Schizosaccharomyces pombe: one gene and its partners. Changing the gene in region 3 together with the main gene of any one other region gives a genetic interaction. Each region holds a gene or a part of one and is shown on either strand. Other genes may lie near its edges.

Evidence for each region.
Region 1: mutations in rpt4 (region 3) and psy2 together harm fitness more than expected from each alone (negative genetic interaction), as found in Schizosaccharomyces pombe (one large-scale study listed by BioGRID).
Region 2: mutations in rpt4 (region 3) and msd1 together harm fitness more than expected from each alone (negative genetic interaction), as found in Schizosaccharomyces pombe (one large-scale study listed by BioGRID).

Annotation. Positions count from the first base shown.
Region 1 is NC_003423.3:895,279-899,037, forward strand, and holds the start of psy2 (serine/threonine protein phosphatase PP4 regulatory subunit 3 Psy2), read right to left. Parts: upstream 2,137-3,759; 5' UTR 1,856-2,136; coding exon 1,144-1,855; intron 1,086-1,143; coding exon 1-1,085. Other genes in the region: dynein-anchoring factor Num1, read left to right, coding at 2,797-3,759.
Region 2 is NC_003423.3:3,049,028-3,052,618, reverse strand, and holds msd1 (microtubule-anchoring factor Msd1), read right to left. Parts: upstream 2,069-3,591; 5' UTR 2,040-2,068; coding exon 1,044-2,039; 3' UTR 660-1,043; downstream 1-659. Other genes in the region: SPOM_SPBC13E7.07 (uncharacterized protein), read right to left, coding at 1-108; gpi14 (pig-M family mannosyltransferase), read right to left, coding at 2,142-2,375, 2,426-3,591. UniProt on the Schizosaccharomyces pombe protein: Has a role in meiosis.
Region 3 is NC_003421.2:403,909-407,667, forward strand, and holds rpt4 (proteasome regulatory subunit Rpt4), read left to right. Parts: upstream 1-1,692; 5' UTR 1,693-1,703; coding exon 1,704-1,921; exon of another isoform or gene 1,922-1,975; intron 1,976-2,343; exon of another isoform or gene 2,344-2,394; coding exon 2,395-3,343; 3' UTR 3,344-3,687; downstream 3,688-3,759. Other genes in the region: mug122 (PX/PXA domain protein), read left to right, coding at 1-590.

The DNA of each region.
Region 1 (3,759 bases), on a different chromosome or scaffold from region 3:
TCTAAGGGCGCTCAAAACAACATATTTTCTATCGCTGTATAGTAATAGAGCCACTTTTGATGTAAGGGTTTTATATGTATCAAAACGACGAGACCAATAATCGTGTATACGAAAAAAATAACAAAAAAGCTCACACAAATGCATATACATATCAAGCTTTTTAACATCTAAACTCGATACATTTTCCAGCTCCAATAAAGGAGCAGCAAGCATATTAAAAGAGTTATCATAAAAATTTTCAATAAAATTAATTCCAATAATGTTATCGGTTTTATTTCGAACATTTCCATCAGCATTTCTGTAAGGATTATTGTATGCATAGCTACCAGGTAAACTTAGTAGCATTTTAAAAGCTTCAGAAATTTGAGCAAGTACTCCAGGATTTGATTCTTTATGCAAAATGTTAATTAAATTGGAAAGCAACGAATGTTGGGAAACGTGAGCATTGCTCAATGAAGAAGAAGCGTCCTTGCGATCTTGATCAAACTTTTGCCAAACGATGGCAGGTTCATGATCAATAATAGACACCAAAATATCGGAACCAGCATTTCGAACGGAATTGTTCTCATGTGACATTGCATAATCCAAAGCTTTCAGAAGATTAAATTTAACGAAAGTAGCAAATAATGCAGAGCAGGACTGGAATTGTAGCCCTTTAGCGATGTTGCAAACCTGCTGAATAAAGAATATACCGTCTTGCTTGCGTTGATCATCCTCGCCTTCATTCACATAAATGCTAAACAGTTCATGTAAAAATTTTTCATTTGTTTGAAGGTATTGAATAATATCAGCCTGGTTAAAGAAGATAAATGAATTTAGCACCGAAAAGGAGGGTTCGTCAACAATCCTTGAAACGACAACATCCCTTAGATACTGAAGCTTAAATGTCTGGTGAATTTTTGCAAGAATCCGTGGATCCTGAATGGGAACCACCTGCTTAAACTTTTTGGAATCCATTAAATATTCCCGATGGTTCGCTTTGATATTGGGGAATTCCGGATCGTATTCGAGAATACCAGCTACACACATTAGCTTTTCATCATTAGAGAACAACGATTCGAGTAAAGGGGCGTCGTTCAATTGCACTGACAGCGATTAGCAAGGATTTAACGAATCTAAAAAGTATAAAGTAGATTAACATACCAAAGCTTTTTATTATGGAACACAATCGATGAAGGTCATCTGTATTCTCTAGATCCTCACACAGAGGAAAAAGTTCAATAAGTCTATCAATATAATTTTCATTTGAAACATAACGAACCAAACTATCTCTTGATTGAATAGACTGCATATATCCATATACTGCTTCTTCAATTTCTTTTAAATTAGCAAGCTCTGGGGCTGGAAGATCGACCGTGTTTAGGTAGTTTTCATTAAGCGCCCCCTCATCCGTCAATATATCATCGTTGGAGTAACTTCTAGTTACCGATGATATTGCCTTTTGAACATTTGCTAAAAACATCCACATGTCTATACAACCGCTAGATTCTTGAAAGCTTAAAGCAAGATCAGTACCATTCAATTCTTGCCAGACTATGAGAGTTTCTTCTTGACGGCTGTATATATCTTCCGCAATCAATTGTGTTTTCAAAAGGATGGTTTCATTATCAGCTTCTGAACGCACAATGAAATAAGCCAACGGTCCCTCTATTTTTCCATCGCAATAACCGGTGCCACAGTCTACCCAGTTTTCATCTTCCATTTCGTACACTTTTACACGTCTGGGAATCGATGGCACTTCGATCTTCTGCAATGCAGCTGCAATTGCTTCGTCTAATTCCTCTTCTTCATTTTCTCCATCTGAAATTTCATCAATATTATTATTTAAATCTTCCTCTTCCTTCGTAGAATCCATTTCTACGGCGGATTAAGGGTAGACGTCAGCTTCGAATTTACGACGTTGGCGTTCGTCACCAAATTTTCAAAAGTGAAGACGAAATTCAAACGTGGTGGTGAATGAATGCAATACCGTAGATTGCACCAAGATTGTAATTATTAATAAATGTATTTCTCATTAAATGGCAATGCCGCTTTACTTAATTATTTGGTTTGCCTAAAATATAACAAATAGATTTGTTAAGCAGTGTACTATGTATATTTCACGTGCATAATTTTGAAGTGTTATGGCAGAATTATGTTCTTTATAGAGTCAAATAACTATTATATACGTGATCGTGGTGCTTTCAGTCACTATTTTTCATTGTAATTCGGTATCTGTTTACAACAATATCATTAACGGACGTTATGCATTTTAACGATGAGTACTTCACCGCTCGGTGTATATGCTGTAATCAATCCTTATATCGAGTTGTGTTTTAAACGTTTTATACTGTCTACAATTAGCATTTAAATCTTTTCGAAATAGTAAATAAACTAAATATGAATATAAATAAAGTTAATTATTGTCTAAACACATGTGTAGCCTCGTCAAATCAATTTTTTGCAAGTCAATCATGAGGCTCAGGGTACATTTGTAAAGTAATAGTTAATTTTTAAGTACAAACTAATGGTATTTATACCGATATATATATTGAAAGCTGCTAAAGCTTCGCTAGATATTCAAGTACTCTAGCAAATGCATCAATATAAATACAGTTTTTTTGCTTTTACTAAGTTTTATTGTTAAAGCGTAATACGAGAAATTTGCCAAATGAGAACACGAATTGAATTGATATAATTCCAGAAATAAAAATTATGTATTCAAGACGATGACTGTTGCGATATGCATGCTTACGAGTTTATCGATATATAAAAGACAAAGAGAGTTGAGCTTACCAAAACATATACTGATCCTTCATGGAGAAAAAACAAGATAACGAGGTGGAATTATATTCAATTGATTTAAAAAATAGAAATGAAAGTGCAAAAATAAAGCTTGCTTATGCGAAAGCGTTAGAGGAAAGCATTCTTTGTGAAACACGAAAAATCGAACAAGAAATTAAAGACCAAGTGGTTCAAAAGGAAAATAAAACATATTTTAATAACAAATTTGATAATCGATATAAATTACGCGACTTGGAAAAAAATTTAGCGGAGGAGGAGGTGAGAATTACGGAGATGCTTACTATTCAACGTCAAGACATTGCAATTGAAAGAAGGAAGAACACAAATTGCTTCAGTGAGTCTTCTCAAGTAGATCAATATTCAGTTACTGAAACCAATCTACAATATGCTACTAACATTGGCTTAAACCTTCTGCAACAGTTGCGGTATTTAAGGCTGCAACTGTCAGAGAAAGAAGATTTGCATAAAAAGTTGTCAGTGGATAATGCCCATTTAATCAAGCAACTTGATCTACTTTCTTCAAACATGAAAACACTTATGAAAGAGAAGACTAAGGTGCAAGGACAAAGGGATTTGCTTGAACAAAGACTACAAGGATTAATGAAAAAATTGACAGAAGTAGAGTCTTTGACCGTTTCACTTAACGATGAGAAGAACAAACTGACATTGGAATTAACAAATTTAAGAATTTGCCTTCACGAGCTTCAACTGAATGCCGAAAAAGGCGAAACTATAGATGAAAGTGAAGATTCTAAAAATACTTTGGTAACTGAGGATGAAAACGACGATTCTGTATTTTTGGAGTCTTCCTCGGATAAGTATTTTGATAGTTCATCTTTTGATGCGGAGCAAGAAGAGAAACACGATTTTCCAATAGATCCTTTTTTGTCGTTGGAATCCAATGTACAAACTTCGGTATCTCAATCATCGGCCGTTCTCAAATCCATCAATTTAGCAAAACAGGAGTTAGTGAGT
Region 2 (3,591 bases), on a different chromosome or scaffold from region 3:
TTGAGGTTTGGTAGCTAATTTTTTATCACTTGAGACTAAAAAATAGTACGCAACGTAAACAGTAGCTATAAGAAATGCCCATCTAAAGAAAGCCTCCTCATAACCCATTCTTTATCTCAATGTGGAATAGTGTAAGTAGAGCAACCAAATGGCAGTCCAAGCAAGCGCCATAATGTATCAGGGAATGCACAATGCTACTTAACGATCCTTGATATATAGCACTATATGTTAAAAAATGTAAACAATAAGAAAATGTGATTTCAATAACAAAAGGTAATTATATTGTTTAACATTGAACACATTTGACAAAAAAAACTAATGTACTTGATCACACTACTAATGCTATTCTAAATTCGCTAAAGACTTGTCGCCAATAAAATTAATACACCAACGTATTCGCTTAAAAAGTATAATTAAAAAAAAAAATTGTTAAAATTTATTTATCATTATAGTAACTCTGATTTTTACTTTTTTAACAAAACCACCAATAATGATTTTTGAAGCTTACTAGTACCTTAAATATTTTGTTCTATTAGGGGTGTGTTAGTAGTTTTGAGCAGAATTGAAATTCGAAATATCAATATATTTATAATTATGTAGGTGTTTTTTTACAAATATAAAAAAGAATTAAAAATAACTTATGACTTTTTAGAAAATATTCCGGTTAATTATTTTTTTGAAGATTAAACACAATCGTAAGTGCTCCAACTAACTTTTACATGGAAATAATTAAATCGACTTTCTTGAGCTAGTGCCTACAATCCTTTAACAACATGCTTTCAAAGCCCTGGTGCACTGTTTAACAGTTTCACATTTTAAGGTATGTTAAATCGTTCAATTGAGAATAGAAATTTGCCTTCAAAATTCTGTACTTAGTGAAAGAAGATGCACTTGTTTACAATAAATAAATATTTAAAAAAATAAAAAGCAATCTTCCAGTTCTCAAAGAGGAATATAAGTGTCTTTGAATTGCGTTCTTTATTATTAATAAATTGGCTTTCGTTTAAGAAATCGAAGCAGCAAATTATTACGTTAAAAGTCAGTCAAAATTTGTCGTGCATATTTGTTAAAAATTCAAAAACTCTTTTGTTCTCCTTTTGAAGAATGTTTATCAAATGTTTATTTTTCTCGTTTTCCTCTAATATTGCATCCAATTCATCAATTGAAACATATTTACGTTCATGCAACAGATTACGAATAAAAAGCAGCTGATTTTGAATTTTTGCATCAAGAAGGATAGCATTCAGTTCACATACTTCAAACGGGTTCGAGTTAGGACGTTCGTATAAAGGACTTAACATCTCTACCAGTGAATTCAAGGTACCACTTAAACATGTCAAAAGTGTTCCGTTACTTTTTTTCAATTCGTTATTTAATCCTTTTAACAATTGAAATTCATCGTTATTCACCCTACTGTTAAGGAAATTGGAATTTTCATCATTCTGTTGCAAAAATGAAGCGGTCTCAGGTAGTATGGGGGCATTTGTGTTTTGCTTAATAGGCTCTTTAACGATTAACATACTATTTAGGTTTCTTCCTTTTCGAGCTTTCACTAGTCCATAGTTACCTTTCAAAGTCTCCATTTGTTGCTCATGCTGGCGTAATGAAACAGATAATTGATTCTTTAATGCCTTCAAAGTCAATTCATTTTTAGCATTTACATCTTTCAAACCTTTATTTTGTGTAATTAATTCAGCTTGATCTCTTTCCAGTGTTCTAACTTTATTCAGTTGCAATTGACATTCGTTTTGATAAAGCTCCAACTCATTTTTGAGCCGTTTTATTGTATTGTTATCTCTTTGCTTTTCATATTCATTATTTTTAATAGCATCAAGAAGAGATTCCTTTTCTAAACGTTCTTCGTCAGTTGCTCTTAATAAACGATATATGATGTTCACTATGTTGCAATTATCACGAATGTCATGAGAAAGGCGTAACTTTTCAGCTTGTATTACTCCTTTGGAAAATAAAGATTTGTTAATATACAAAAGGCTTTCTTCTATATTGCTGGGGTTGCAAAAAACAATGGGGGTGGTCATCTTCCAATGTTTACACTTATTAATGCGGTGGTGAAGAAATAATGTAGAACATCCTTATAAAAATCATCTATTGCATAGAACTTAAAACAGATTGATTATTAACTACAAAGAATCTAATATTATTTTTAATTCATAAACATTAAAAAAAAAAAAAAGTAAGCCGGAAAGCCAAAGAGGTATAAATACCGATTTTCCCAACATTTCTAAATTGTATGCACTAATAAGCCATAACAGCTGACCAATAATCCACAGAGACAGACAAATAAGTCCCTTCTTACTTAAAAGCTTAGAGTTTGGTAAAACCAGAGGTAGAAATACTAGATACCACATAAAATACTAAGTTGTTAGTATAATCCGTCATTCTTCTAATTTCAAACTTAACATACCTGACTGGTACAAACCTTATTAAAGGTTACAAATGCAAATGTTTGGGCAAATAGAGTCCCAGGTAAATTCTTTTTTCCAAAGACCAAGGGTATTAGCATGCACAAACTTAACTGCGGCAGAAATGCAAATAAAGAAGACGCTTTTGCTCCGAAAGATGATTCATAGTATAAGTTTAAATGATGTAGAGAGAAATTATGTCGATGATCTGTTCTACCAAAGTGGTAAAGATATGTATGTTCAAGGAATGGAGACCCGTAAAGGTAATACATCAATAAATTACATATCGTAAACATAAACAAAGAACCAACAACAATCTTTAACTGATTAATCGATAATAAAGATAGAAATTTTTCCATGAAAGTGGACCCTTTTTTTGGTTTTGAAAAATATACTAAGAAAGCAATCCCATACATAAATGGGTAAATTTTAAAATGCACAGAAAACCCAAGTATTAGGCTAGCTAGCCAAACTGATTTTTTTTCGATCAAATACAACAAAGCAATGCTCAATATACCAAGAATGGCTTCACAATTCCCTCGAGTACTGATTATGGCGACGAATGGGTTCAATATCCAGAAGGAAGAGTAAATTAACGACCTTTTGTAAGATATCCTCCTAGATAAGAGCTTAATCATAAGCCACCCAGCAATTAAGTCTGATATTGAAAACAAATATTTACCCCACGACGGAAATCCGTATTGAGTAGGAAGAAGCAAAATTGCCAACATTGGAGTATAGCGATATGTGTCACGCATATACGGTGACATTCCTATGGAGACATATTTTGATGCGTCCGAAAACACGAAATAATCGATGTCCGTAAATTTAAGGGCAGATCGTCTATCATGCCAAATACCATAATTCAACAATACAAGTCTCATCAATAGACCCAATAAAAGTAAAAGAAATGCATCAGTAGGCGCATATAGGAGATATAAACTACTTTCACGTAATTTGGTAATCATATTTTCACGACTATTGTACTTTGACAGTAATTTCATAGCTTTTGCATAATGGATAAGAGCTTCACGAGCACTTGTATTGAATAGACTGCAAACTTTCACATCCAAATCAATGAGATATTTTTCATCCTGGGTTAAACGATATTGCAAGCAAGATTGAATAAAGCACTGAATTCGCAAATATTCTTTATCTGAGACACTAG
Region 3 (3,759 bases):
AACGTCTTAAAGAAATTATCAGCGGGGGATTTGCTCTGGTTGATGAGCTTTGCTCTCTGAATTCCAAGTTGTGGTTTTTTCGAAAATCAGTTTTAACGATTATGAAGACGACAGTATTGCATGGTCCTGGGAGGTTCTCGGCTCAAGTTGAACGAATGTTAAAGAACCAAATTTATGACAAGCTTTCAAACACTCAACTAGTGGGAGATTTATTAACTTCGTTAATCTTAAACGTATGGCCCGACGAAAAAAAAGCCATGGAATCACATTCGACAAGGGCACACAGACGTTCAACTGAATCTAAAATTTCCTTTGATAGCGAAGCCGATTCCCTTTTCGAAGAGGCTAGCAAATCTGTTCCTGAAGACCCTGTTTCAGTTTTTTGTGACGAGGAAAGCGATGAAAGTTTGAGATTACGAGCCGAAAAAACCCTTGTTGAAAACGCTTTATCTGAGAATTTTACTCTTATGCTTGGACAGTCAACCTCCGAGGAAAGCCTAAAAATTATTTTCGAACTGCTTCAAGAACCGCAATTCGTGCAAGGGTTCCTTGCACATTTACTTAGCAATGCTCTTCGTAGCATCATATAGTCAATCAAGGTATATCGCAAGTGTGCCGTATATTTATTTCTTTTCGCCGATATATACCTGGCATTTTAATGATTTTTACTTCTTTCCCTTTTTTATCATTTTGTTTCCCTTCTCTTACATTTTAAAATTCCATTAGCTTTTGGTCGATACGTGATGACCGGTTTCATGATTAATCGCAAAATCAAACGAACCTTTAGAACCATTCCCTTGTTTTCTACCTCGTTTGTTAATATTTTATTATCCTACTTTCTTTTATATATTTATTTATAAAATCGTATTTTCGACTTTACCTTGCTTTAAGATTTGTTTGTTTAAAGTTGGCGAAGTCGAGAACTATCTTCTCTATCTTTAGTCAAGTTTGCGTTAATTTATACATATTGAGTTTCGTTTATTCGGTTAATTGTTCGTTCCGTTTTACAAGCAATCTAGCTTTTTGTGTAAGAAAAAGTTAGACGTGTATATGTTTAGAAAATTTAGTTGTAGGAACTATGATATTAATTGACAATCATATTCTGACACAAGTGGTCAATTGAATTGGATTGTTCAACTTAAGAGACCAAGTTTTGGCGGATTAAGCATAATTTTTGTTAACAGAATGACTTGAAGCAACTACCAAATTGTTGACATAGCAGTACCCAAAATTTTACGAAGGATGAAATTTTTTAAAGCAGAAAACGTTCGTTAATTTTGAGATTAACAGTAATTCTAGCATCTTCAAAGTTTGATGTTTGCTCAACAAGTTTTTGTTTTTACGGATAGCGACAGGAGTGTAATACCTCTGGTTTCGAGAAAACTTAAATATGAGAAGTTTAAACAAAATAATAATGCATTTTCGGTTGGGGTTTCAGCATGAACTTGCAAAACTGAAAAGATACTCAATTCAAACTTCAAAATATTCTTTTAAAGAAAACTGTAGTCTAGTAATCATACTGCTATTATAGAAAAATATAATCTTACGCAAGAACAGATTCCGCTGAAATTCGCAATGCTTATTTAACGAAAACGACTTTAGTGAAGTTTTAATAATTTCTAAGAACGTAAAATACCGAGTAATTGGATTCCCATTTGCTAGTATGTTCTGACCAGAACTAACACATCTTTTGCGAAATAACCATGTCGGAAAGAGACACTGCTTTAGAGAAATATAAATCCTATTTATTACAACATCGAGAATGGGATTCAAAACTGAAGGATTTGCGTTTTGGAAATCGAGATCTAGTCAAGAAATATGATAAAACAGAGGATGATATAAAAAGCTTGCAGTCGGTTGGTCAGATTATTGGAGAAGTATTGAAACAACTTGATTCTGAAAGATTCATTGTAAAAGCTAGGTAAGTAATTACTCAAACTTTTGGGAGATTGTTTGCTTTACGTGGAGGATATATACAAGTGAAATGTGAAAATGGATGTGAAGACCTTATTATTAGTAATGCATATGTTGGGCGTTGAATTCCTTCATAAAGAATTTTTTGTGGCGTATGAATGGGAACCATGTTTAAATGCATATAATCATTTGCCCGTTCCTTTTTTTTTTTAAAGATAAGTTCAGTGGGCAAAATCTGTGTTCAAAAACTGTTTGGTTCTAACCTCTCCATCCAGCAAAAATTCTTTTTGAAATGCGCACACGGTATAAAAATCTATAACCGGAAGCATGAAACACTCTGTTTACTGGTTTCATAGCAAATCGTTGGGAAAGTAGATACCTCACGTATAGTCATCCTTCTCTTTTTACAAATCTATCGTTGCATTAGTACACTATTTTTTATTTCCTTTCATTATTTTCTGTTTCCCTAACCTATTCTAGCTCTGGTCCACGTTACGTTGTAGGTTGCAGAAACAATGTCGACCAATCTCATTTGGTTCAAGGCGTTCGTGTATCTTTAGATATGACCACGTTAACCATTATGCGTATTCTTCCTCGTGAGGTTGATCCTCTCGTTTACAATATGTCAATTGAAGACCCTGGTGACATTTCTTTCGCCGGTGTCGGTGGCTTGAATGAACAAATTCGTGAATTGCGTGAAGTTATTGAACTACCTTTAAAGAATCCGGAATTATTCCTTCGTGTGGGAATTAAGCCACCAAAAGGTGTTTTGCTCTATGGTCCTCCTGGTACTGGTAAAACTCTTTTAGCTCGTGCCGTGGCGGCATCTTTAGGTGTTAACTTTTTAAAAGTAGTTTCCAGTGCTATCGTTGATAAATATATTGGAGAATCTGCTAGAATAATTCGTGAAATGTTTGGCTATGCAAAAGAGCATGAGCCATGTGTTATTTTTATGGACGAAATTGATGCTATTGGTGGTAGAAGATTCTCTGAAGGAACATCTGCTGATCGTGAAATTCAGCGTACATTGATGGAATTATTGAATCAGATGGATGGTTTCGATTACCTTGGCCAAACGAAAATTATCATGGCGACAAATCGTCCTGATACTCTAGATCCTGCCTTGCTTCGTCCTGGTCGTCTAGATCGTAAAATTGAAATTCCCCTACCAAACGAAGTTGGTCGTATGGAGATTTTGAAAATCCATTTAGAAAAAGTCTCTAAACAAGGCGAAATTGACTATGAAGCATTGGTTAAACTGACAGATGGAACAAATGGTGCTGACTTGCGGAATGTGGTTACAGAAGCAGGATTCATAGCCATTAAAGAAGATCGCGACTATGTCATTCAGTCCGATTTAATGTCCGCAGCTCGTAAGGTTGCTGACCTGAAGAAACTTGAAGGTACAATTGATTACCAAAAGCTTTAGTGCACATATATCCAAAAAGCCATGAAATGATAAGTTTACCGATGAAGATTATACGCGCAACTGCATAGTTATGATTAAAAAGGTCGAATAGTAAGTGAAACGTTTACTTTTAATATATTCCGACTCTTTTGGCTTTTATCATGTATATATGAATATGCTTGATGGGAATCTATGTATATTATCGTAAGGCATATCTGTGATAGTACAAACTGATTTTCTTCAATATTTGATTATGTTTTCCATATCCTCCAAATACCAAACATTGTTTTTCCACTCTACATAATTTACTGGCGACAAAAGAAAAAATGATCAAGTAAAAATAAACAATTAATTATACACATGAATTAAAAGTAAAGCAAATGTTTGACTAGAAATTATTAACTAACCAAATGCACTGAAGTGTAAAGAACGAACTA